Oryzias latipes: one gene and its partners. The protein of the gene in region 2 interacts with the protein of the main gene of each other region in a biochemical or structural test. Links are inferred from orthologs where the notes say so. Each region holds a gene or a part of one and is shown on either strand. Other genes may lie near its edges.

Evidence for each region.
Region 1: of the proteins of abl1 (region 2) and atm, one has a biochemical effect on the other in vitro, tested with the Homo sapiens proteins (3 studies listed by BioGRID and IntAct, with this or other methods). The link is inferred for Oryzias latipes from reciprocal best matches to the Homo sapiens genes ABL1 and ATM.
Region 3: the proteins of abl1 (region 2) and rb1 form a complex in vitro, tested with the Homo sapiens proteins (3 studies listed by BioGRID). The link is inferred for Oryzias latipes from reciprocal best matches to the Homo sapiens genes ABL1 and RB1.
Region 4: the proteins of abl1 (region 2) and crkl form a complex in vitro, tested with the Homo sapiens proteins (4 studies listed by BioGRID and IntAct, with this or other methods). The link is inferred for Oryzias latipes from reciprocal best matches to the Homo sapiens genes ABL1 and CRKL.
Region 5: the proteins of abl1 (region 2) and rad51 form a complex in vitro, tested with the Homo sapiens proteins (2 studies listed by BioGRID). The link is inferred for Oryzias latipes from reciprocal best matches to the Homo sapiens genes ABL1 and RAD51.
Region 6: of the proteins of abl1 (region 2) and atr, one has a biochemical effect on the other in vitro, tested with the Homo sapiens proteins (2 studies listed by BioGRID, with this or other methods). The link is inferred for Oryzias latipes from reciprocal best matches to the Homo sapiens genes ABL1 and ATR.

What each region holds. Positions count from the first base shown.
Region 1 is NC_019871.2:24,904,862-24,907,170, reverse strand, and holds part of atm (serine-protein kinase ATM), read right to left. Parts: intron 1,764-2,309; coding exon 1,647-1,763; intron 908-1,646; coding exon 758-907; intron 659-757; coding exon 493-658; intron 1-492.
Region 2 is NC_019870.2:12,824,770-12,829,046, reverse strand, and holds the start of abl1 (tyrosine-protein kinase ABL1), read left to right. Parts: upstream 1-1,477; 5' UTR 1,478-2,024; intron 2,025-2,747; 5' UTR 2,748-2,978; coding exon 2,979-3,105; intron 3,106-4,277. Other genes in the region: exosc2 (exosome complex component RRP4), read left to right, coding at 218-298. UniProt on the Homo sapiens protein: Non-receptor tyrosine-protein kinase that plays a role in many key processes linked to cell growth and survival such as cytoskeleton remodeling in response to extracellular stimuli, cell motility and adhesion, receptor endocytosis, autophagy, DNA damage response and apoptosis.
Region 3 is NC_019872.2:15,912,888-15,916,387, forward strand, and holds part of rb1 (retinoblastoma-associated protein), read right to left. Parts: coding exon 3,487-3,500; intron 1,442-3,486; coding exon 1,337-1,441; intron 1,261-1,336; coding exon 1,147-1,260; intron 1,064-1,146; coding exon 915-1,063; intron 836-914; coding exon 805-835; intron 715-804; coding exon 572-714; intron 471-571; coding exon 424-470; intron 339-423; coding exon 268-338; 3' UTR 1-267. UniProt on the Homo sapiens protein: Tumor suppressor that is a key regulator of the G1/S transition of the cell cycle. The hypophosphorylated form binds transcription regulators of the E2F family, preventing transcription of E2F-responsive genes.
Region 4 is NC_019870.2:17,501,482-17,505,653, forward strand, and holds the start of crkl (crk-like protein), read left to right. Parts: upstream 1-1,372; 5' UTR 1,373-2,170; coding exon 2,171-2,481; intron 2,482-3,899; coding exon 3,900-4,172. UniProt on the Homo sapiens protein: May mediate the transduction of intracellular signals.
Region 5 is NC_019882.2:19,723,064-19,727,023, forward strand, and holds the start of rad51 (DNA repair protein RAD51 homolog 1), read left to right. Parts: upstream 1-1,160; 5' UTR 1,161-1,231; intron 1,232-1,267; exon of another isoform or gene 1,268-1,352; intron 1,353-2,171; 5' UTR 2,172-2,215; coding exon 2,216-2,305; intron 2,306-2,380; coding exon 2,381-2,518; intron 2,519-2,588; coding exon 2,589-2,706; intron 2,707-2,778; coding exon 2,779-2,870; intron 2,871-2,946; coding exon 2,947-3,041; intron 3,042-3,112; coding exon 3,113-3,226; intron 3,227-3,941; coding exon 3,942-3,960. Other genes in the region: centromere-associated protein E, read left to right, coding at 137-216.
Region 6 is NC_019880.2:5,838,700-5,842,199, forward strand, and holds part of atr (serine/threonine-protein kinase ATR), read right to left. Parts: intron 2,271-3,500; coding exon 2,146-2,270; intron 1,913-2,145; coding exon 1,742-1,912; intron 1,670-1,741; coding exon 1,515-1,669; intron 1,419-1,514; coding exon 1,266-1,418; intron 474-1,265; coding exon 275-473; intron 185-274; coding exon 1-184. UniProt on the Homo sapiens protein: Serine/threonine protein kinase which activates checkpoint signaling upon genotoxic stresses such as ionizing radiation (IR), ultraviolet light (UV), or DNA replication stalling, thereby acting as a DNA damage sensor.

The DNA of each region.
Region 1 (2,309 bases), on a different chromosome or scaffold from region 2:
AAAGAGGATTTTTGTCTCTACATACACAATAGAACGTTTCTACACAAAATGAATCTGAAGAAAGTAAAAAAGGAAAACGTATTTAAAAAAAAAAAGATTTTCTGTCTTGCAAGAAAAACATCTTATCAAGTTTTTTAATGGCAACATAATCTTAGTTTGAAAAAACACGTCTTAGAAAAAGAACTCTTGGTAAGACACCTTTTCTTGCCCCATTGACAGTTTTTTTTTTCTTATTTAAAAGAAAACTTCCAATGGGGTAATAATTTTTGACTTTTTATCTAAGGGGCGTGTTTTTCCAGTGCATAGTTTTTATTCTAGGCTTTTAGTTAAACACAAGATTTAAATTTTTGCTCACGTTTAAAACAAAGCCTAAAGTTTTGTAAGGAAAGTTCAACACAGTGGTGCAAAAACAACCATTGTTTCAACAAGATAACATTCCAGGTCAATGCAGGATGTATTGGGTCAACAAGTTGCCATAGCAACATCAGGTACCTATAGAGGAGGTGGCAACACTGCGGGTGTAAGCCAGTCGTCTCTCCATCCATAACGCGGGGTCTAGGAATCGTTCCATGCAAAAATACCTGAAGACCGGTCTGAAGTTTTTGCAAACGTTCATGTAGGCCTCAAGCTTGTAGTCGAATCCCAGACTCTGAGCCTCCTGCAATCACAGCAAAGACGTGGAAAGAAAGCAGAAGTTTATTTAGGACCCTGTAGTGTTCACTTAAAATGCTCTTTCAACGTTCTGCTGAAGGAATACCATCATTTTTTTGCGACAGGCCAGGCTGGTCCAATCCTGAGGTCGGTAGCGTTTGTGGGCTCCTTTGTTCGGTTCTGTTAGAAACTCCCCGATGGGCATGGTGCCGGAGCACCACTCCAACACGCCGCTGCGCTGCGAGAACGGCACCACCTGGATCGAGTGTGAACCACAACGTCTTGCTTTAGAAGGACATTAGACAAGAACCAGAAACCAGTAAAGTCCCAATCCGATCCTCTTTTGATCTATTGTAAAAGCTTTTCCAGTGAGAAATACTCAGAAATGCAATTATGGGTATCGTTTTCATTGTGTCCTCCGTTATCAGAAAAATGCCACTAGAACATGTTAAAAACACCTAAAACAGCATTTTCATCAGAGTTGGTCTTTAAAGAGAAAGATTTTAAAGAAGAAAAACAAATTTTTTATGTTTTTCAACATGTTTTTATAGCAATTCTCTGAAGATGGAGGACATATATTAGGAATCTTAAGATTAAAACTGTTTCTTCAAATTGTGGGGAAGCTGTTATAGTTGTTACATACAAACTACAATTAGCGGGCCACAACCTTCCTGCTCTGCTTCATTCTGATTGATTCACTTGCAGACAAATAGATCCATGAACCTCTTTGTTTTCCGCATCTGAGCTGGAATCTGGTTCAAAACTGTGTAACCAAAGGGATGATGGGAAATCAGTGCAGGATTATTCTGTGCCACAACTACTGAACTACTGTTGCTCTGCAGAAGTTTTGTCCCAGAAAATGACACAGGTTTTTTTTTTGTGTTGCTAAAAAGAGCAATTAAAAGACCACCGGGAACACCTTCACAACAGATCAAAAGCGGATGAGAGTGGGAATTTAAAGAGGAATACTGTTATTTATTAGGGACAACAGGAACCTTGTATCTTCGGATGTTCAGCTTCCTCTTCCGAGTGTCCTTATTGCGCTGCAGCAACATGGAGCACATGCTGAAGACCTGCTGCATCACTGCATCCTGCCGCATGTCGTCCTGACCCTGTTTCACAGCACACAGCAGAACCCGTGGGAAACTCTCTCTAACGTTCCCTTTTAAATACATTTCAATCTGACTATAATGAACGAGCAGAGTCCACACACTGGATTACACTTTATGAAATTCCTACAATTGTTTTTATCTCTTGTATTTTGCCCCAAAGAGTTAAAACAGTTTATTTCTCTGAAAATAATCCAGAGTTTTGGGTGGGTGCAGTTTCATACAGCGACTGTGTAGTTGGTGCTTTTTGACCCCTTCTGTCCCATAATGCCCAAAAGCAGCTGAAGTTGAAGCTGAAGACCAGTTTAAGCAAACTAATACTCCAGTGGGAGATGGAATTCATCCATGTTTCATTCTGACAGGTTTCTCTTTCCAAATGTTCCTCTCATTTATTAAATGTATTCACGATCATCCGAATTTACAAAAAACACACATTTGAGGACGGAGATACTGAGATTTTGACAGCATAATTCAAACATGCTTAAACATGTGATGGTGGAAATCAGTTCATGTGGATCAAAAGCTTTTCATTCTCAAAATCACATATTT
Region 2 (4,277 bases):
AACCTTCACATTTATTTGTATTTGCAGAATGGAACAGACATTATTTATTGAAATAAACAAATCAGATATAAATATATGTTTTTAATTTATTCTGAGAAATGGTAAATTTATGAGCAATTCGTGTATTTTGGTGAAATGCATGTAACTATAAATGTTTCTGGACTTTTACAAAACGATAACAACCTGTTTTAAAGATTTCCCTTTTCCCTGCCTGTAGGTCAAGGACATCTTAAAACCCGAGGTGATGGAAGAGATTGTCATGTTGACCCAACAGAAGCTGCTGGAACAGGAAGGATAAAAGGCTAATGCTAAAACCACATCCAACAACGGGGCCACCATCCACTTATCCAAAAATTAAGTTTAGTTGTCTTCTATGAATCAAAGTGAGGTGCTCAGAGATCACATTCTTTATTTGATATCAAACATTAATAATGCATATAACCTGAATGAAAATTAAAATGTTGTCCACATTTGTAAATGCTCGGTGTGACATTACATTGTGATGGTTTTGTATAAAATAAAATTTCAGTCATTTCTGTATAGTTCTCATCGTGGTCTGTATTGATAAAAAACAATGAGTACATTGAATCAATTAACCTATAAGAACCCATGGTGGACATAATTGTAACAAAATCATCAAAAGTGTGTTCTTTGGTCCACTTGGATTTTTGTATATTCAAAATAATTTTCGTTTGAAGGAAAATGGGTCTTCAGGGTTAATGTTAGATCTTAAAATAAATCTGATTATTTCACTCTTCATTAAATGTTAAATTAAATATTGTTAAATGTTTAGCAGCATTTTGGTGCTTCATGCTTCTACTAACTTAAATACTTTTTTTTCATAACAGTCTGAATCATTAGCTCTCAAGAAATGTTTTTTATTTTAAACAATAAAAAAATGAAATTCAATTTGCTACATAAAATATTTATTAGTTGGAACATGGCCTACATTTCCCTTTTTATGTACTAATTTTTGAAAATTCATTAATTGTTAGTTTTATATGCAGGATTTAATTTTTTTTCTCATAGTTGTTTGATAACTAAAAAAAATGTTCTACTCTAAGACAGGTTAATAAAAAGTGACTTTATTTATATAAAAGTGTGCAATCACCTTTGTTATTCCTGAATGTTTTTTCTAACCAACCTTGTATTCTTTTAAATGAAGAAAGCTAAAAAAAGAATTCGATTTATCCCTGCTGGGATGGCTTTTCCCCTTCTGTTTCCCTTCCTGCTCCTCCAGCAGAATCCAAACTCGTGCGCTTCCCTCATTTTTTTTCCAAACTTTATTGATCATAACATTAAATTTACAAAACATAACATCAAGGAATAAAATAGATCAGCATCAACAACTATTGTCATCATTCCAAACTTATTCAACCACAGCAAGTAACAAACGTAGCAGAAACATATCAAAAACGTGCGCTTCCCTCATGGTTTTTTTTTTTTTTTTTTGCGCTTCCCTCATGGTGCTAGCCCACGCTGAGCTCGTGACGTCACACGTAGCCCCACCCACATATTTCTGTAAACCACCTTACGTATGGAAGTATGGCGGTTCCAGCGACAGAACTGGAACTCGGCCAAAGTTTACTGCTCAGGTTTTCACGTGAAAGTGATGAATAAGCACGCAAGCATAGAGCTCGCTAGTAAAGGGCACGGCGGCTGGGAATTCGGGAGAAAATCTAGGAGACAGAGTCGTCTGGCCCTCAGAGTTCCCTCAACTTCGCCTACAAGTGGCTTTAGAGACGCGGGGGGAGACGCTCCACAAAACGGGAAGAGTGGACGCGGAAGTTTGAAACACACCAACAAGTGCTTTGATTTTTGGTTACAGAGTGTGAAACTGCGGTCACGGGACATGTTTTGGTGAGATAATGAAGTGGACTTGACTGCGGTTACCAGCAGAAACCAACCGTTGACTGTCCGGCGTGCATAGGGGTCTGGCGCTGCTTACCACCAGCAGAAGTTTGGTTAGCTTATGGCTATCGTCAACATTAGCTGGAGCTAACCAACAGTGTCAATGTTTTCATGTAAGTTTACCTCACATTTAAACACTTATCAACGTTTTATTTTTTAACTGTACAGTTTTATTAGAGTCAAAAACAAAGATGTCGTTGTCACAAAGTTGTTTATAGTTAATTAAACCACGTATGACACTAGTTTACATTATTGTGCTCGAAAGATTAAGACTAAGATAGTCGAGATAAACAACATAAGGTGTCGCTTTTCTTTAGTACTGATAAGCAAATGTATTTTCAGTATTTGTAGTTAGTTATGTGAAGCTGTAACTAAACCGAGACTAACCCAACACTATTATTTTGAGGCTGTGATTGACGTTAAACAATTTAGAAAAGTAGTTGTTCGAACCCTAAACCTAACAAACTTGAGGAAATACTTTCAATTTAACTCTCAACTTCTACAGAACAAGACATTTTTGAGCAGTTTTAACATTAAAAAGACACTTATTCTAAATTATAATTAATTTAATCTTTTGATCTGATTGGTCAGGCTCTAAAATTATTTTTTTAATCTAGATTATTATAAAATGCATTTCATGTTATTATTTAACATGTGGTCAGGTCTAATACTTTTTACAGAACAGAAATAGTCTTAAAACAACTCCCAAAATTGAAAGTTTGTTGGCGTATTGCTTAAAAGACATTTTTTTACAAGCTTATTTGTCATTTCTTTATTTAAAAAAAGTTTGATCAGATAACTTTGAATGCTGATTACTGTTGTTTACGTTTCTGCAGATTCCTGTTAGGTCCCTCATATGTCGTCTGAATGCATAAAAAAACTGAACCCTACTGGAGTAACACAGACTTGTGCAGGAGGCCTGCATCACCAATACTCCAGGAGAAGACAGTGTGAGCCCGGAAAGAGGCTCCTGTCTTCTCCAGATCCCGCCATTGCCGCTCAGCAAGCTTTCTAACCGACTCCGTCCGACTTGGATAGTCCCGGCTGCAGCCTGGCACCCTGCCCTTATGGGGCAGCAGCCGGGAAAGTTTGTCGGGGACCAAAGGAGACCCAGTCTTCCAGCCTTTATTAAGGGGGGAAAGAAGGACTTACCGCGCCATGTGAATCAGCCGATGAATGTTTTTGATTGGCACGGTAAGATCACAACCCCACTCATTTTTAAGGTAAAAATTCAGAGACAAAAAATACTGAAGGACAATCATTTGCTTTTTTCCACTTCCTATTGGCAATCACAAATTCTAGATATTAATGTCTGCATTCAATAGGCTCATGTTTTTTAATCAGTTTATATTTTAGAAGACTTTGTCTTGCGTGCACTAGCTTCAGCAAAATCTTTGGCAGAAAATTTAGGGGATTTGACATCTTTGTCATTGATTAAAAAGCTGGCAAAACAATCCATGCAACCTGAGCAGAAAATCAAATCTATGCAGCTTCAAAATCTGATCCAAAGGTATTTTACCAAACTTTTTAACCTTAAATTTACCTTTTTAAATGCAAATTCAATTGCAAATGCATTTTCCTGCAGATAAATTAACCTGGATGACAAGTTTGTGCTTAGTTTGGCCTTATATGATATAATTATTATTGGATTAATATTTCACAGATGTTTCAAAGTTCCCTGAGAAAATAAAAGCGTTTTCTCTCACATCAACTTCCATTACGGTGTGATCAATGATATGCCACTTTGAAAATGTTGTGCCTAAATCAAAAGTGTATAGGGATGTTTAAAACTCAGTCATAGATATGTAATTAAATATGAAGCTTACTTCAAAGCATTTTACAACATTATCCAATACAACCTATTGCTGAATATAACATAAAAACCTTTGTTCTTAAGCTAAAAGCTTGCTTGTCAGTAAAATGTTGACTTAAAACCTTATTTAAACACTTTTTCTTGTGATTTTTAAAATGAAAACATTTGTGCTTGTGATTAGGATTTACAATCATCATTTTTTTATGATCTGAAAAAGAGTTTACAACTGTGCTCCAAATGTACCGGATGCAATCTGATTAAAAATTGCAAATTATTCATTAATGTGGAGGACTAAAGCCCCTTTGGATTGATTTTGAAATTAAAAAAAAAAGCTTGATAGTTAGAGTGGGAAGGGAAAGAGGAAGAAGATGGAATGAACAAATTCCATTAGGAAAAAAAAACAGGGATTTTGTGGGCTTTTGGCCACAAAAGCAGAGCAAAATTAAATGCAATTTAAACCATTTCTGTCATTAGTATTTTGAAGGAGTATGAAAGCTATTTTAGCGTGCGATCATGCTCAATGATACCATCTCTGTTTTCTTATGTTATGTCC
Region 3 (3,500 bases), on a different chromosome or scaffold from region 2:
TTCCTCCTTAAAAGGAGCAACTATAATAAACCAAACCCACATCAGGAACAACCACAATTCTATAAAAGTCATTATTTAGTTAAAAAACTCAAAGCATGACAAAGACAAAAAAAGGGGAGAGAATCGATGTCATCAAACTACTCTTTCAATCAAACTATAAACTAAAAGCAGCTAAAGGTGCACAAAAAAATCCAAAAGCAACTTGGGTTTCACTTTGTGTGCGGACAAACAGTAGTGTTCAAACAGTGCAGGTCAGTCCAGCAGATCTTAGGTTGTTTTTTTCCTGGATTCTGCATCCTCCTTCATCTTCTGCTCTTGCATTCGACTGCGAGTGGAGCCTGCAAGAAAAGCAGCATGAAGATGTGTGAGAAAACAACCGCAGGAGTTCAGCGGGACATGCAAAGGCACAGGTGTTTTTCTTACTCATCTCTGCAAGCTTCTGTATCAGTGCAGACTCTCCTCCAGATTTGCTGTAAATTGAAATGAAAAAATGATCCAGATGTTAAGTCAAATAAGCCTGATTTGTGGCGGTACTCTCAAGCTTGAATTTTGAAGTCGAATTGTCACAAACCTGCCATCAGCTTCATCCTGCCCGTCCACATCAAAGCGTAGCCTCTTCAGAGGCTTTAGAGCAGAGCCACCATCCAGAGTCCTCTTGTGAGCGCGGTCACCGCTGTTCACCATCTGGTTGATTTTCTGGAAGCGGTTGGCAAACTGTAGACCAAAAAAAGGAAAGAAAAGAAAATGTAGCAGCTTCTCCAGCCATGAGTAAAATAATAATTTTTATTTTAAAAAATCACAAACCCCAAAAGATTCACCAATGGAAACCAGCATTCTGCACAAAGGAAAAAAATTAATATATTGTAAGGAAATATTTCTAAAGTATTGACATATTCTAAGCTCTTGGGACTGACCTGGAGCGAGGAGTCATCATACCCGGAGACAGGCGTGAGTTTTTTAGAGGAGAAATGTACACATTGTTGCTTCCCGGCACACGCAGAGGGGAGTTTGGGAACTTGTAGGGACTGCATGGGATTTGAGGGATCGGAGAAAGAGTAGGTGGCTGGAGAGAAAGGACAGCAGATGCACTGAGACGAGTACATTTGCAATAAAAGCACACTGTTAAACAGGTCTGAAGTCTCTCACCCGGGTGGATGCATACTGCAGGATGTTGGTTTTTAACTTCTGCATAAACACTTGATTGTAGAAGACGATGATGGAGTCGTACTGGCCTTCTGTGATCAACACGTGCTTAAAGGTCTGAAAAAACAACATTCTCATAAGTCACTGTTCAAAAAGAAGAGTTTATATTAGAGTTTTTTGAAAGTTGCATCACCTCTTGGCTGGTGTTGGGCATGTTCTTGTAGGCAGAGACGATTAACTTGAAGCGCAGGTCGACGCTTTTTACTTTGCAAATTGCATACATGGCAGACATCATCAACTGCAGAGATGATTGAACTTTAGTCAGATTCTTCTTCACTACTGCCAGAAAAGTTCATAAAAACTTCTAACATTCACTCATGCACACACATTCACACACTGATGACGGCTCCACTGCCAAACACTGGGGTCATTCTATAACCATGAGGAGAAATGTGAGGTTCAACACATTCAGCGCAGCGGGAACCGGACCTGCGATCTTCCAATCAGAGGTCGACCGCTCTTCCTCTGCACCACAGCTGCCACTGCTATGGTGACCAAAATGGACAACCAAGCTCAGAAGCGCAGCTGCCAGCCTAGGTGAATCTGTGATAAATCTTTAACCTGGTGATCGGTGTTAAGAAGACATTAAAACAGGAATTCCCTGAGGAGCCTCCATCCTCCTTCACTGCTCTTTTTATTGGAGATATTTCACAATAAATAGATAATCACATTTCCATATGTGATCCTAGGAATAGGGAATTCCAGTTTCTCATTATGGAAGAAGGGTGGACTCCATCAACTACCGGTACTTGAGTTAGAGTCAAATGATGGTAAATATATAAAGTGTGAAGACTATTGATGGGTCTGGCAACACAGACGCATCGGCTCACGTGTAAAGCTCATAGAGTGAAACCCTGTGTCGCTGCGCGTATCCCTTTAGGAGAAGTCACGTGACCGATACAGCCACTGTGAGCCAAACAAGGAAGCGCGTCTACCAGCAGTGTTGCCAGATCATGCGGTTTTCCACCCAATTGGGTGGGTTTGATTTTGCTGAGAAAATTTGATTTGTGTGGTTTTCGCGTCAACTTTGCAGGTTTTAGTTAGTTTTATAATGAGTCTCTAAGCAGTCTTTTATTTTGAAAGTTATTATATTTTGAAAAATTACCAGATCTTCTTGGTTACATTACTGTCACTTGGGTGCTAAATAAGTCCAGCGGTGAGTTGGACTGAAGAACAGTTTTTGATGCCTCAGATGCGCGCCCTGCTTCCAGCTGTTGAATGATTCTCGCGCTCGTGTGCCGCCGTTTTCCCCGCCCACCTGTGTTTGAGGTTTTATTTTACTGAATCTTTACTTAAGGTGTTAAATGTGGTGTTTTAATGAGGTTCGCGGAATTATTTAATAGTTTTAATAGTGTTTCTGGCTTTTTGTTTCTCCTCTTCCTCTCGGTTTCCGCTTGATCTAGCAGAATATAATTCTATTTCCAACGAACTCTAATCAGTCATTTTATGTTTCAGAGGTTAAATGTGGCATTTGTTCTGCAGAACCGTCAAACTTAAAAGCACTTTCCTAATGCTGGGGCATTATAGAGCGAGACATGGGAATAAGGAACTACTATGACAAATATTGTGTTTAGCTTCAATTTAAAAAGTATATCAGCTGAGTTTCTTAACTTGGTTCCCTGCAATAACGTTTTTGGTCCAGTCAGTATTAAGTGACACAGTATCGACACAGTATCATTACAGTTTGGGCAATGTGTTGAAACGCTTCACGTGGCCTCATCTACACATCACTAGTAAAGACTATATCATTAAACTAGATGTAACATTTATGGATCCCTTGAGGATTATTTGTATCACTGTAGTTTAATATTCTAAAATAATACACATTTGTAGTTTATTTTGAGTGAAGATGGAGCAGCAGAGAAGGGTGGGAGGTGCTTTTTTTATTTTTCTTTGATGGAGAGTTTATTTTTTGTGTTTGTGTGATCTGTATTCTGTCAGTCCAGAGTGTTTCAAGTTCATGCATTTTATTTATATGGATGGTCTTTTTGTCTGACAGAGAAATGTAGAACTTCCTTCTTCTTGTTCTCTGTTGTCCTGGACTGGTAAAGCTCGTACACCGAGTTCTACTTTTCCCTCGCTGTGATTATTCATCGTGACAAATGTTGAGAGAAGGCGCCATTGTTATAAGGGATACCTTTAACGTCACAGATTCTTAATAATCTCTTAAAAAGCATGATAATAAAAAGGAAAGAAATTGGTAGGAAAATAGAAACATAAAGAAATTCTAGCTTTACATAACTAGAAAAAAACAATCATTAGAGCACGATAAGGCGAGCACACCTGGTCAAGGTGAC
Region 4 (4,172 bases), about 4.7 Mb from region 2:
TCCACTATTGTGTTTTGTCAGGGAGGATTTTTATGTGGCACAGCCTTTTGCATTTTAAAAACTCTTTTTTTTCCCTTCCGTTGTATTTCTTATTGAGTCAAGTAGCAGTTTACTATTAGTGTGTCACCGTCCAATTCCAGACCATATATACATTAAGATCGAGTGAAAGGGGAAGTTAAGAAACATCAGGAAATGAAATAAGAGAAACATGCTTTTTTCTCCTTTAGAGATACTTAACAGAGAAAACGGGCTTTTTCATTTTAGCGAGTCTATATCTCAGTCTATTATAAAGCTACACATCTGCAGAGGTATCAGCCATAAAAAATATCTAAGCACTAAGATATAAGGAGTTTTGAAAGTGTAGCTAAAAATTTTTGCTTTAAAATCTCTGACAAATTCAGCAACTCCCTGAACCTGAAAGGGATTCAGCAGGTTTAGGAAATGCATGGATGGATGAATTCAGGCTAAAACCAACAAAAACAATGGTTCACTTCTATTTAGCATAAAAATAACAGTAACAAACACAAAGCACTGATGTACTTTTCTACTGAAGCTCCTGCCAGGTTTACGTCAGAGAAAAATCAGCCCAAAGGTTGCAGACCCCTGGTATACTGTGACATTTCTCACACAATATTTGAGTAGTTTGGTTTTATTAAGTTATTTTTTCTCTCTTATTTACTTCAGAATAGTAGCCTAGTCTATGATCAGTGGTGGATTTAAAACATTTCATATGGGGGGGCAGTAGACTTTAATTGGGTGGCAAATGTGATAAGCAGAGAGGAAGGCCATTACAAATGAAAGGGTTAACCATGTTTCATAGTTTTATTATTGTTATTAATAACAACACTGCATTTTTTTTTTTTGCTGAGGTGCCATTACTAACAAAGCTTGCATTAATGATTTCTTAATCTTTGTGAAAATAATAATACTGTTTCAAAAATTGGTTGGGGGCAACTGCCCCCTTCTGCCCCCCTGTAGCTCTGGCCCTGCTCATGGTGGTTAAATGGAGGAACTCCTGCTTCACACGATTCCCTTTTGTTTATTAGCCGTGCGATCATTGAAAATTTGGCCGCACATCTTTTGGTTGGTGTTTTGTCAGGTCTAAAATGGAATAGGAAGAAAAAGAAAAGAAAACTTAAACCGGCACATTAAAAAAGAAAACTTTATTGAAAATGAACAGTTTTACAGAATATATAGACAAGGGCATCCGAAACAAATTAATGAACACACTTTTTTTTTACTCACAATAATAAAAGCAAGGGACATGAAATGACAACAGTGACACATCAAAGTGGGCCCGCCAGAAACGTCATCACTCGCCCACCTTTTCCTCCGCCCACGGCCCCACCCCTTCCTCTCCTGCTCCCCTCCGTGACGTGCAGATAGAAAGCGGGACCAGCCCTCCCGTCGCCATTTTTCCCGTGTCCTGCTTGCGCTTTCTGCTGGCTGAAACAAGCGGGACCCGCTGAAATTAGAGAACGGATATCGCACGGAACCGGCACGCCTGGATCTCTCGCGGGCACTCGAGGAATGCACGCGAGAACTGGAGCGCAGCAGACACGCGGCGGCCGTCATATCATTTTTTGGTGTGAAGACGTGTTGCGAGCCGCCATTTTTCCCCCCCTCAAAAGTCTACTCCGACCCGAGAAAGGGGAGTTAAACACCCCAATTCCGTGACGTCCGCCTTTTTGTGACACCAAGAGGATACAGAGTCGGTATTTTCTTTCTCTACGCTGTCACAATTTTTGTTTTTAGTTGCAAACATGGAGATGGAACGCGCCTGAGGCCACCCTTTCCGTTCTCGTAACTGACACTGACTGAACTGAAGCTAAATAATTGTGAGTTTTCGCGGAAGGCGGAACAACGAGAGGAAGCTTTATTGATCATTTGTTGCTTCAGTTTCCGTCGATGTTCGTCCGTTTCGGGGCCGTTAGCTGCTCGTCACATTATGCTCCCGGGCTGGATCAGCAGGTCGGTCGCAGCCTGTCGCTGAAAACGTCAGGTTGATCTTTTGTTTATTTGTTTTAATCGGGTCCTCGGGCGACGAACGCCCTACCCCGCATCTGCCAAGTACTGCAGCTGGATGCGATAGGCCCGTTTGAATCTAACTTATTCAATAGTTCTCATTTTCTTCTTTATATTAACTTATTTTTTAAAGATTTTTTTTAAAATGTCCGCGTCCCGATTTGACTCGTCTGATCGCTCGGCCTGGTATTTCGGACCAGTGTCGCGACAGGAGGCGCAGAACAGGTTACAGGGGCAGAGACACGGCATGTTTCTGGTGCGAGACTCGTCCACCTGTCCCGGGGACTACGTGCTGTCGGTGTCCGAAAACTCCAAAGTATCTCACTATATCATCAACTCTTTGCCCAGTAAGAGGTTCAAGATAGGAGATCAAGAGTTCGAAAACCTCCCAGCCCTTCTGGAGTTCTACAAAATCCATTACCTGGACACAACAACGCTAATAGAACCAGCATCCAGGTACGATCGTGACGTCTTCCAGCATCCCGGTAGACGACCACTTTCTGTTCTGTTATTCCTCAGCAAATATGTCGTTGAATTAGCATGTTATTGGACAGTTCCTGTTGAGTTTGTTTTAACATTAGCTAAGATGTTCATGAATAACTAGCCTGATCTGTACACAACTGTGTGTGACATTAGGGGGTGTAACAGTTCGATTTGTATCATAATTCATAGTTGCCAACCCGATTCATAGTCGATATTGATTCATTTTGAATGATCCGATCATCCACTGACCTGAAATCAATCCACCATGACATATTTCGCCAAAATTTCAACCAGTTCGACTCAGAGATAAATACTTGGATACTCAACAGTGCAGGTGAAATCTTCCAGATTCCCTGTCTTTCTTGGAAGATAATCAGGTGTAAATTAAATATGTGTACAAACAAACAAACAAGTAAACAACAATTAATGGCAAATGTATTTTAGTCTAACAAAGTTCAGCCCACTTTTGTTTTTCCACATAAGAATAATACAAAGGCCATTTTTAGAACATTCTACCACACTGAATGGTGACGTCTTAGCTAAATTCATAGTAGTTCCTTAAATTGAACTGGAACGATGGACTGATCTTTTTTTATTTTATTTATTTATTTATTTTGCCGCTATCACGTTTGTTGTCCTCTCTCAAGGTCGTTTTTACGTTATAGAAAAATAAACAATCCAAATGGTATTTTCCTGTATCGATTTGAAGGTCATTTTGAAATAATTTAATAATGGTATAGATCAATTCTATTAACAACAGATAAATCGATCTGGAAATCATTTAAGGCAATTGATCGTTACACCCCTGTAGGGTATAGTACATTTGCGTGTGTATTCTAGTGTTTTTACACACTCTTACACACCAAGGCATTAGTGCACTTCATGCAGATGATACCTTTCTTAACCCTTTGACACCGTAACTTTAGCTGCTGTGTTGATGGTCTTGAATTACAGTAACTCTTCAACCGTTTAGGCAATTAACATATGTTCTGAACTATAAGTTGCAGCAGCTAAACAATACATCATAAGGAAGGGGGGAAATCATCTATTAGTCACACTGGAGTTTAAGTCGCACTTTTTAACATAGTACGTGACCAAGAACTAACGTTTAATCTCTAAAGGAGATCATACTAATGGAAAAGATAACAATAATGCACTTATTATCTGCACACTTCACTACAAACTGATGCATGTATAGTGCAAGCATCAGTGCATTTTTAGCCAGTTTTCTCAACTGTAGAATCTGTTGGAATTTTGTTACTTGGGTAAATGGTCCAAGAGTTACAGTAGTTTGAAGAGCATGTGTTGTTTCATGTCTATTAAAGGGTTAACAAGGAACCATTGATACACTCTTCTACGCAAAACATTTCAGTTGGGTCATATCTTTTCAGGTACCCAAGCACTATTGGTGGTCCGGTCCAGTCTATGATTGGTCCAGAGGATAACTTTGAGTACGTGCGGACACTATATGACTTCACTGGTAGTGACGCGGAGGACCTTCCATTCAAGAAAGGGGAGATCCTTATCATTTTGGAAAAGCCAGAGGAACAATGGTGGAGTGCCAAAAATAAAGATGGACGCGTCGGGATGATCCCCGTGCCCTACGTGGAGAAATTGGTACGACCCTCCCCCCATCCTGGCCAGCCTTCCCACGGCTCGCGCAA
Region 5 (3,960 bases), on a different chromosome or scaffold from region 2:
TTTACTTTTTAAATATATATTTATCTGTGTGCATTTGTTCTAACCCCAGTCTTTTTCTTTAAATCCAGGGTAAAGGATTCTGTCATGTTGATGATTAAAGCACAGAAAAAATGTTTTTAAATCTTTTATTTTTCAGATGCTGCAGCTGGAGCCAGTGGGACAGACCCGTGGTGGCCACAGTCTCCCAAAAAAGAAGATTTCTGCAAAACCCAATGAACATTAAAAGAATCCTTTTAAAAATGAATATTTCACTTTTCTTTTAAAGCCAAAAAATAAATCCTGTGTTTTAGTCTGACTTTTTTGTATTTCAGTATAAGAGTGATTCTCCTCTGAGTTGAAAACACTTCATGTGCAATTTTGTTATAATTGTAATAAATGGAAAATGAAATGTGAGGTTTATTCTTTTATTGTTTTAAGGTTACGCTTGGTTGGAAAAAAAAAATTCACTTGAATTTTGTTGCAGTTATGTACGAAAAATGTCAAATTAGTAGGTCACAGCTGTTTTAAATTTGAATTTGCATTTATTGGCCCATGACTTGGATGTTTGTTTTTGAGGAACTAGTTTAAAATCAAACGCATATTTAAGCATGCGGAGGTCATGTTTAAATCCTTTTATGGTGGGGATTTTATTTTCCTATTGAAAGTAAAATAAAGGCTTCAAATTTAAACAAGATGCCAATGATGCCTGAAAGTGCTTTTACAATTCAGTGAAATCTTTGCTCTATCAAAATAAAGGTTTATTTCAATGTTTACTGAAAACCTTATTAGTCACGGATGAATAAATGAATCTAAATACCACTTTTGAAGACTTTTTTTGTTAAAATAATCACAAAAACGTGTCTGACAGACATTTTATTTGGTAAAGACATTACTTATAAACATGAAATTGAGGGGAAAATGCGTTTAAACAGATCTTCCTAATGAGAAATTTTGGATTTTTAACGGATCCCTGTTCTTTGTAGCTTTTCACATTATGAGCAAGCCTCTTTTTTTAAGATTTAAGTATACATATTTTATGTTTTTGTGGAAAACAATTTCAAACTAATATCCATTTACGAAGCTAAAACCGAAAATGTTTAGTTCTTTATTTTTTACTTGATAAAAAAAATGTTCCTTTTCCGGTTTCCTGTTTTGTCAAGGCATGGGAACACATGTGACGTCATCGCGTTCGACAGGAATCTCGTGCGCGGGAGTTTTGTTTGTAGGATCAGCAAACAGAACAAAGCAGCAGGTATTTCATCGAAACCGTGGTCTTTAGTAGAAAAATGTCACTGCTTCTAGGGGGTTCGAACCATGACACTTGGCTCTTTGCTCTTAAACCCAGAGCAGCTTTACGGAAGATCAAACTTTTTGTACGAAATTACGCAAATTAGCGCTAAAGCTAAGTTAGCGGGCGACTTCAATTTAGCCAAAAAATGCTTTGAAAGATACAAATAAGCCTTTTGAAAATATGAACAGCTGCTGTTGTTATTGGAAAACTTTGATTTATAGGAGTCAGTTTGTAGTCGTTTGGTTAAACACTGGTTTCCCCATAAGTGTTACGTCAACTTATCAATAAAGTTTTTGAATTTGAACAACGGGGTGTAACTTCAACAGGCAATGTTAACTTTAGAAAACATTTGTCTCTTCTAATCATTTATTATAAAATGCGGATTAAAAAAAGCTTTGAACACCTGCTGAGACGCTGCAGTTAACATTTTATTTTATCAACTACAACTAAGAACTACAAATCCCTGCTGCATAACAGGCTGCAAATTGGTTTGATAATGCCACTTTATTCCCTGAATTATGTAGAGGAAAGAAAAGTAATTTAAACGTATATATTTAAAATTATTTGACTAATAAAAATTCGTTAGTATTCAGTATATTGCTTAAAAACCTCTAAAGAGGATTGATGGATAATTGCATGCTGGGAAATCATGTTTCACGTGTTTAAGTTTTAAGTTACTGTTAATATTCTTATTCTGTGCTTAGGTGTTTTGGGTCGTTTAAAACGCTCCTATTTTAGTTTAAGAAAATATCCTCAAGTCTTTTATGTTTTGAAGAAAAACTAGTATTAAATCAGTAGGATTTAGTTAAATGAAAGCATTAGACCTCCTTAAACTTTCTGTCCTGTTTTGTTTTGTATCGTGGTGTTTGCTGCTCTGACACTCCTTTTTGACTCTGTGCAGTGAGGACCCTGCCTGAGGAGAATTCAGCTTTTCATTCAAGAGTCATGGCCATGAGGAGCGAGGCTCGGGTGGAGGCAGAAGTGGCGGTGGAGGAGGAGGAGAACTTTGGGCCGCAGCCTCTTAGCAGACTGGAGGTTTGAACCCTGATAGTTCTATTGTGTCTTTTGCAGAAGCTTTGTTGTCTTAAACATTTTGGTTTCTGCTTGCAGCAGTGTGGAATCAGCTCCAGCGACATCAAGAAACTGGAGGACGCAGGCTTCCACACCATTGAGGCCGTGGCGTACGCTCCCAAGAAGGAGCTGCTCAACATCAAAGGCATCAGCGAGGCCAAAGCCGACAAGATCCTAGTGAGGAACAGCAGCTTCTGGCTTCAGGGATTCTGCTGCTCCTACCTAACGGTTCTGTTATCTCTCTCAGACTGAAGCTGCCAAGCTAGTACCGATGGGTTTCACTACAGCCACAGAGTTCCACCAGAGAAGGTCGGAGATCATCCAGATCTCCACAGGATCCAAAGAGCTGGACAAACTCCTGCAGGGTGAGTTTGCTGGAGCTCCTTCACCATCCCTGAGGATTTGAAGAATGTTGACCTTTTCCTTCCTGAGTTCAGGTGGTATTGAGACAGGCTCCATCACAGAGATGTTTGGGGAGTTTCGCACGGGGAAGACGCAGCTGTGCCACACCCTCGCTGTCACGTGTCAGGTAAGATCAGCGCGGAATGGCCAAACTTCCATCTGTCTGATCACGTGAAGCTTTCAGTCCTCTGTTCTGTTTGCAGCTGCCCATCGATCAAGGGGGAGGAGAAGGGAAAGCGATGTACATCGACACAGAGGGGACCTTCAGACCAGAGAGGCTCCTCGCTGTGGCAGAGAGGCGAGTTTCCACCGTGAGCGTCAAACTCCTCATCTTACTTTGAGAAAATGTTAAAACTCTGGGCTCTTCAGGTACGGTCTGGTGGGCAGTGACGTCCTGGACAACGTGGCGTACGCCCGCGCCTTCAACACCGACCATCAGACCCAACTGCTGTACCAAGCTTCAGCCATGATGGCAGAGTCCAGGTGAGTCCTTCACACCTTCTGCTGTCCTCCAGTCCACTTCCTGAGATCAGACAGTTTGCAGGTTTCCGAACACATTCAGTCAAAGGTCACATACCCAAGTGTTTGAGCTTTAAAGTCCGATCATCTTTTTTTAAAATCTATTTTCAAATCATTCCCAGTAATCTTTTTATCATGAATATGCTGATTTTGGCCAAACTAGCATAACTGGTTGCCTCTAGTTGAATGTTTATCCTTCTTTTACAATGCAGCAAATAGGTTCATTTGAAGAATGAGAGATAAAAAATCAATACATTTAAATATATATATATGTTTATTGACATGTTATTGAGGGAAACAGTATGTCAGGAGGGGGCGGCAATGAAATAGAGGATTATGTCATCAGCATGGAGGTGGATGGAGGAGTCAGATGTTCTTAATGTTGATAACTGATGAGATCCATCAGGATAAACCTCAGACAGAACTGCCCCCTGCTGGTGGCTCTGTTAGTGCACAGACAGCGAGGACTTTTCAGGTGCCTCACTGGTCATCATATTTGGTGGACTTTGTGAGGAAGCCGCAGAGAAAACCCACACATGCAGCCAAATGTAATATTCTACCGAAGGAGGTTGACAAATGGAACTGCTGTTAAAAAAAAAGTTGTCAGTTCATCTGTATTGTAAAAAAAGCATCAGAACATCAGCTTTAGATTACTTTAGATGGTGCGTTTGTGTCTCAGGTATGCCCTGCTGATCGTG
Region 6 (3,500 bases), on a different chromosome or scaffold from region 2:
GAGGGATGGCTCTACTTTCCCATCATGCTCTGTTTTCAGCCTGCAGTGGAAGCAGAGGAATTTGGGAGGGCTGCTGTGTTCTTTGTGTATGAGGGTAGAAAGTCCAGACTGAACGCAGCTCAAGTCTCCAACGATCCGGGCGAGCTCCACCTTCACCTGCTCCGATTCATCTTCCTGCACAGACCTGCAGCGCCCAGCAAAGGAAAAAAGCAACATGATTAATGACCAAATAAGGAAATCCAACATGTTGTGACTGCACGGGAAGTTTACGCACAGGAGAGTTGTCCCGATGAGGCTGTGGAACCCATTTCCCAGGTGATGAAGAAGGACCGGGAAAACCCGGACGGCTGCAGCTCTGACGGATTCATCCCGATTCTGCAGCGCTTTTGTAAAGACGCACAGGCGCCACGTCTCACACACGCCGCCATGCAGGAAGGCGAGCAGCGACACACAGTCTGCCTCGATTTCAGGTGCTGGAGAAGAACACAGACAGATTCTAAACCTTTAAAAACACCTTTAGAACCAATATATGAGGGAAAAAAAACATTTGACAAACTGAATATTTGACAGATTTAATATGTCATAAGTGTGTACTGCTTGTATAAATGCAAATATGATTTGAAGCAATTACAATGTTAAAATGATAGCATTACTTTCTTAATCAATTATTACTTTATGTATAAGACCCACTCCGATGAAAATGGTGCTTAGAACTTGTTCTTATGGCTTATTTCCCATGATGGAGGACATATTTAAAGAAAATTCAGCTTAAAATAGCATCTCTGAGTATTTCTTTATTTAAATCAGGTGAAGATGAAAAAATTCTGATAGAAAATATCGTATTTGTGATGCTAGGTCCCTGCTCCACTCCATTCTGATGTACGTACATCTGTTTTCCACATCTGGGCTGGAATCTGGCTCTAAGCTGTACAACTGGATAGCTTCAATATTGCTCGCCATTTTAGTTGCGCCCCTAAATGGTAGGTTGGAGGCGTAAGGGGCTGTAAGCTAGCGGAAGAGAGCATAAACAGAGCGCTCGAACTGTTGATGTCCATGAAAACAATGTTTTTTGATTTTATTTAGCCTAAAAAGGCCATTATTAAACCTAAAATACCCCTGAGAACACTTTTATAATAGAGCAAAGAATTATCTTAAAATAGATTTGACATATTTATGTATTTTTATTGCCTTTTCTTTTGTGTTTATTGCTTAAAATAAACCAAATTAATTCATCCAGAAACTTCTCAGCAAATAAAAACACTCACAAAGAGAGCTGTTGAGCTTCTGGGCCAAAGCAGGCAGCCAGGAAGGGAATCTCGAACTCTTAAAGGCGAAGGCAGACTTGTTCTCGCACACCCAGGGCAGAGACAGCAGAGCACACACATCCCGCTGCAGCTCATCCTCCCCTTTTCTACCCACTGTGGCAACAAGACGGGACAGCCAGGACTCAGTTTAGACCAAAAAGTTGCTTTTCAAGACCAAATATTACAAGCTTCTCTTGCATGTTTACTCACACGTCAGGTACAACACGAAGTCAAGAATCCCAACAGTGGCACGAACGGCAGCCTGGAAACGATCCTGCTCTCCAACGGCTCCTTCCAACACCACACGGCAGCTTTTCAGGACTCTGCTGAGGGTTTCGGCGGACACCCACAGGAGAGGACACGGACTGCTCACCAAAAACAGAGTCACTTCATCAGAACACGGCATCTGCACGAAGGGGAGGAAGCCACAACTTTACCTGATGGGGGAGAAGCAGCAACCCGCCACATGGAGGATGAGGGCCAGACCCTGCAGAGCGAACAGAGTCTGGGGACTCCCCGGTTCTGCAGAGCTCAGAGGGTCCAGCAGCTCCTCCAGCCGAATTTTCAGCACGGCCCAAACCTCGCTGCGGGCGCTCATGTCCACGTCACTAAGAAAACACAGGCAGAACCGTTTCAGACAAACCTTTTCCCATTGTTTTTCTGAAAAGTCATTAAAAAATTTAAAATTTTAAAATTTAAAAAAACTTGAGTGAGAAACAGCCTAATTTCTCAGTTTTTGGAATAGCCTTCAAGCTACATTTTCTGCACAATGAGAGGACAACCACACGTTCGTGTGCCCCCCCCCCCCCCCCCCCCCCCCCTCAGCCGAGCCTGAACTTACTTCAAAGATGTGTTGTTGGTTGATGACTTGCAGGATCTTTTCGCAGCAACTTCTCCGTCTTCTTCTTCCCGGATCACATTAGCAGTCTCAGCTTTGAGGGCAGCTTGGAGAAAGCCCTGAGCACACTGCCAAATTACAAAAGTTACAAAACAGCAGGACTAGAAATACAACAACATTAGACGAAATTGGAAGTCTCACTCATCATATATTAAAAGTAAAGTGTCTAAAACTAAATTTGTTTGGAATAATTTTTTCTATTTATATATTGGAGGATAAATTTAAGGAAAATTAAGCTCTAAATTGCATTTCTGAGTATTTCTTTGTTCAAGTTGCTGCGAATCAGGAGCTGAAGAATAAAAGCCTTGAGAAAGCTTGTAGCAGCTTTGTACAGAGTTATGGCAGACGACAAGCTTCCTGCTCCATTCCACTCTAAAGCATTCACTTGTAGACGGCTTGATCCGTCTACGTCATTGTTTTCCTCTTCTGAGCTGGCATCTGGCTTCAAACTGGATAGCTCCAATATTGCTCACTGTTTTTGTTACAGCGTTAAAGGGCCCCCCACAACCCTGAGCTCGCAGAAGGGCGTGTAAACAGATGTATGACGGGAAGTGGGGGCAGGCTTACTCCGTACCTACGGCCCTGCCCACAACTTCTCTGCAGAAATATCTAATGAACTCCTGCCGCTCTGCAGAAACTATGTCTTGGGAAAGGACACCATTTTTTTTTTATTTTGGCTAAAAATGACATAATCCTGATGGAAAGATCGCTTGGAACACTTGGAACACAACAAATCAAAAAGATGATCAGAGTGGGACTTTAGGTATTATTTATCCTGTGAAATGCTGAGAATGTTTCATTGTCTTCCTTATTGCGTTGCAGTGTCTGATAATAAATAGAAAACCAATTTAATTATTTAATGGTTGCTGCAGAAAATCGTTTTTTAAATAGCTGGATATTGGGAAACGGTCAGGAACGTTAAAATTTGAAGATTTAGTGAAACAGCAAGATTTATAAAGGCACGTTTAAAGTAGTGGGATCTTACAAAAGTTAATTCTTTTTACTTCAAAAGATGAAAATCAAAGAAGTTATAATAAATAAAGTTTTGCCTCAAATTTATAAGGGGATTTTAAAAAAATACACCTCGTGCGTCCACAGATTCATAACCCTCAGTTTTAACAGTTAAAATCTGTCTAACACAAGGGGCTTCGGCTCCTTTTTGCTTCGCTGTTGGATGGGACAAGTAACGTAAAAAAAAAGGAAATTACAGGAGAAGATATGATTTCAAGCTGCTCTACTACAAAACAAACATGCTTTTTTTGTTTTGTCAGGATAAAAGTTTTGAATTCCAAGCAGAA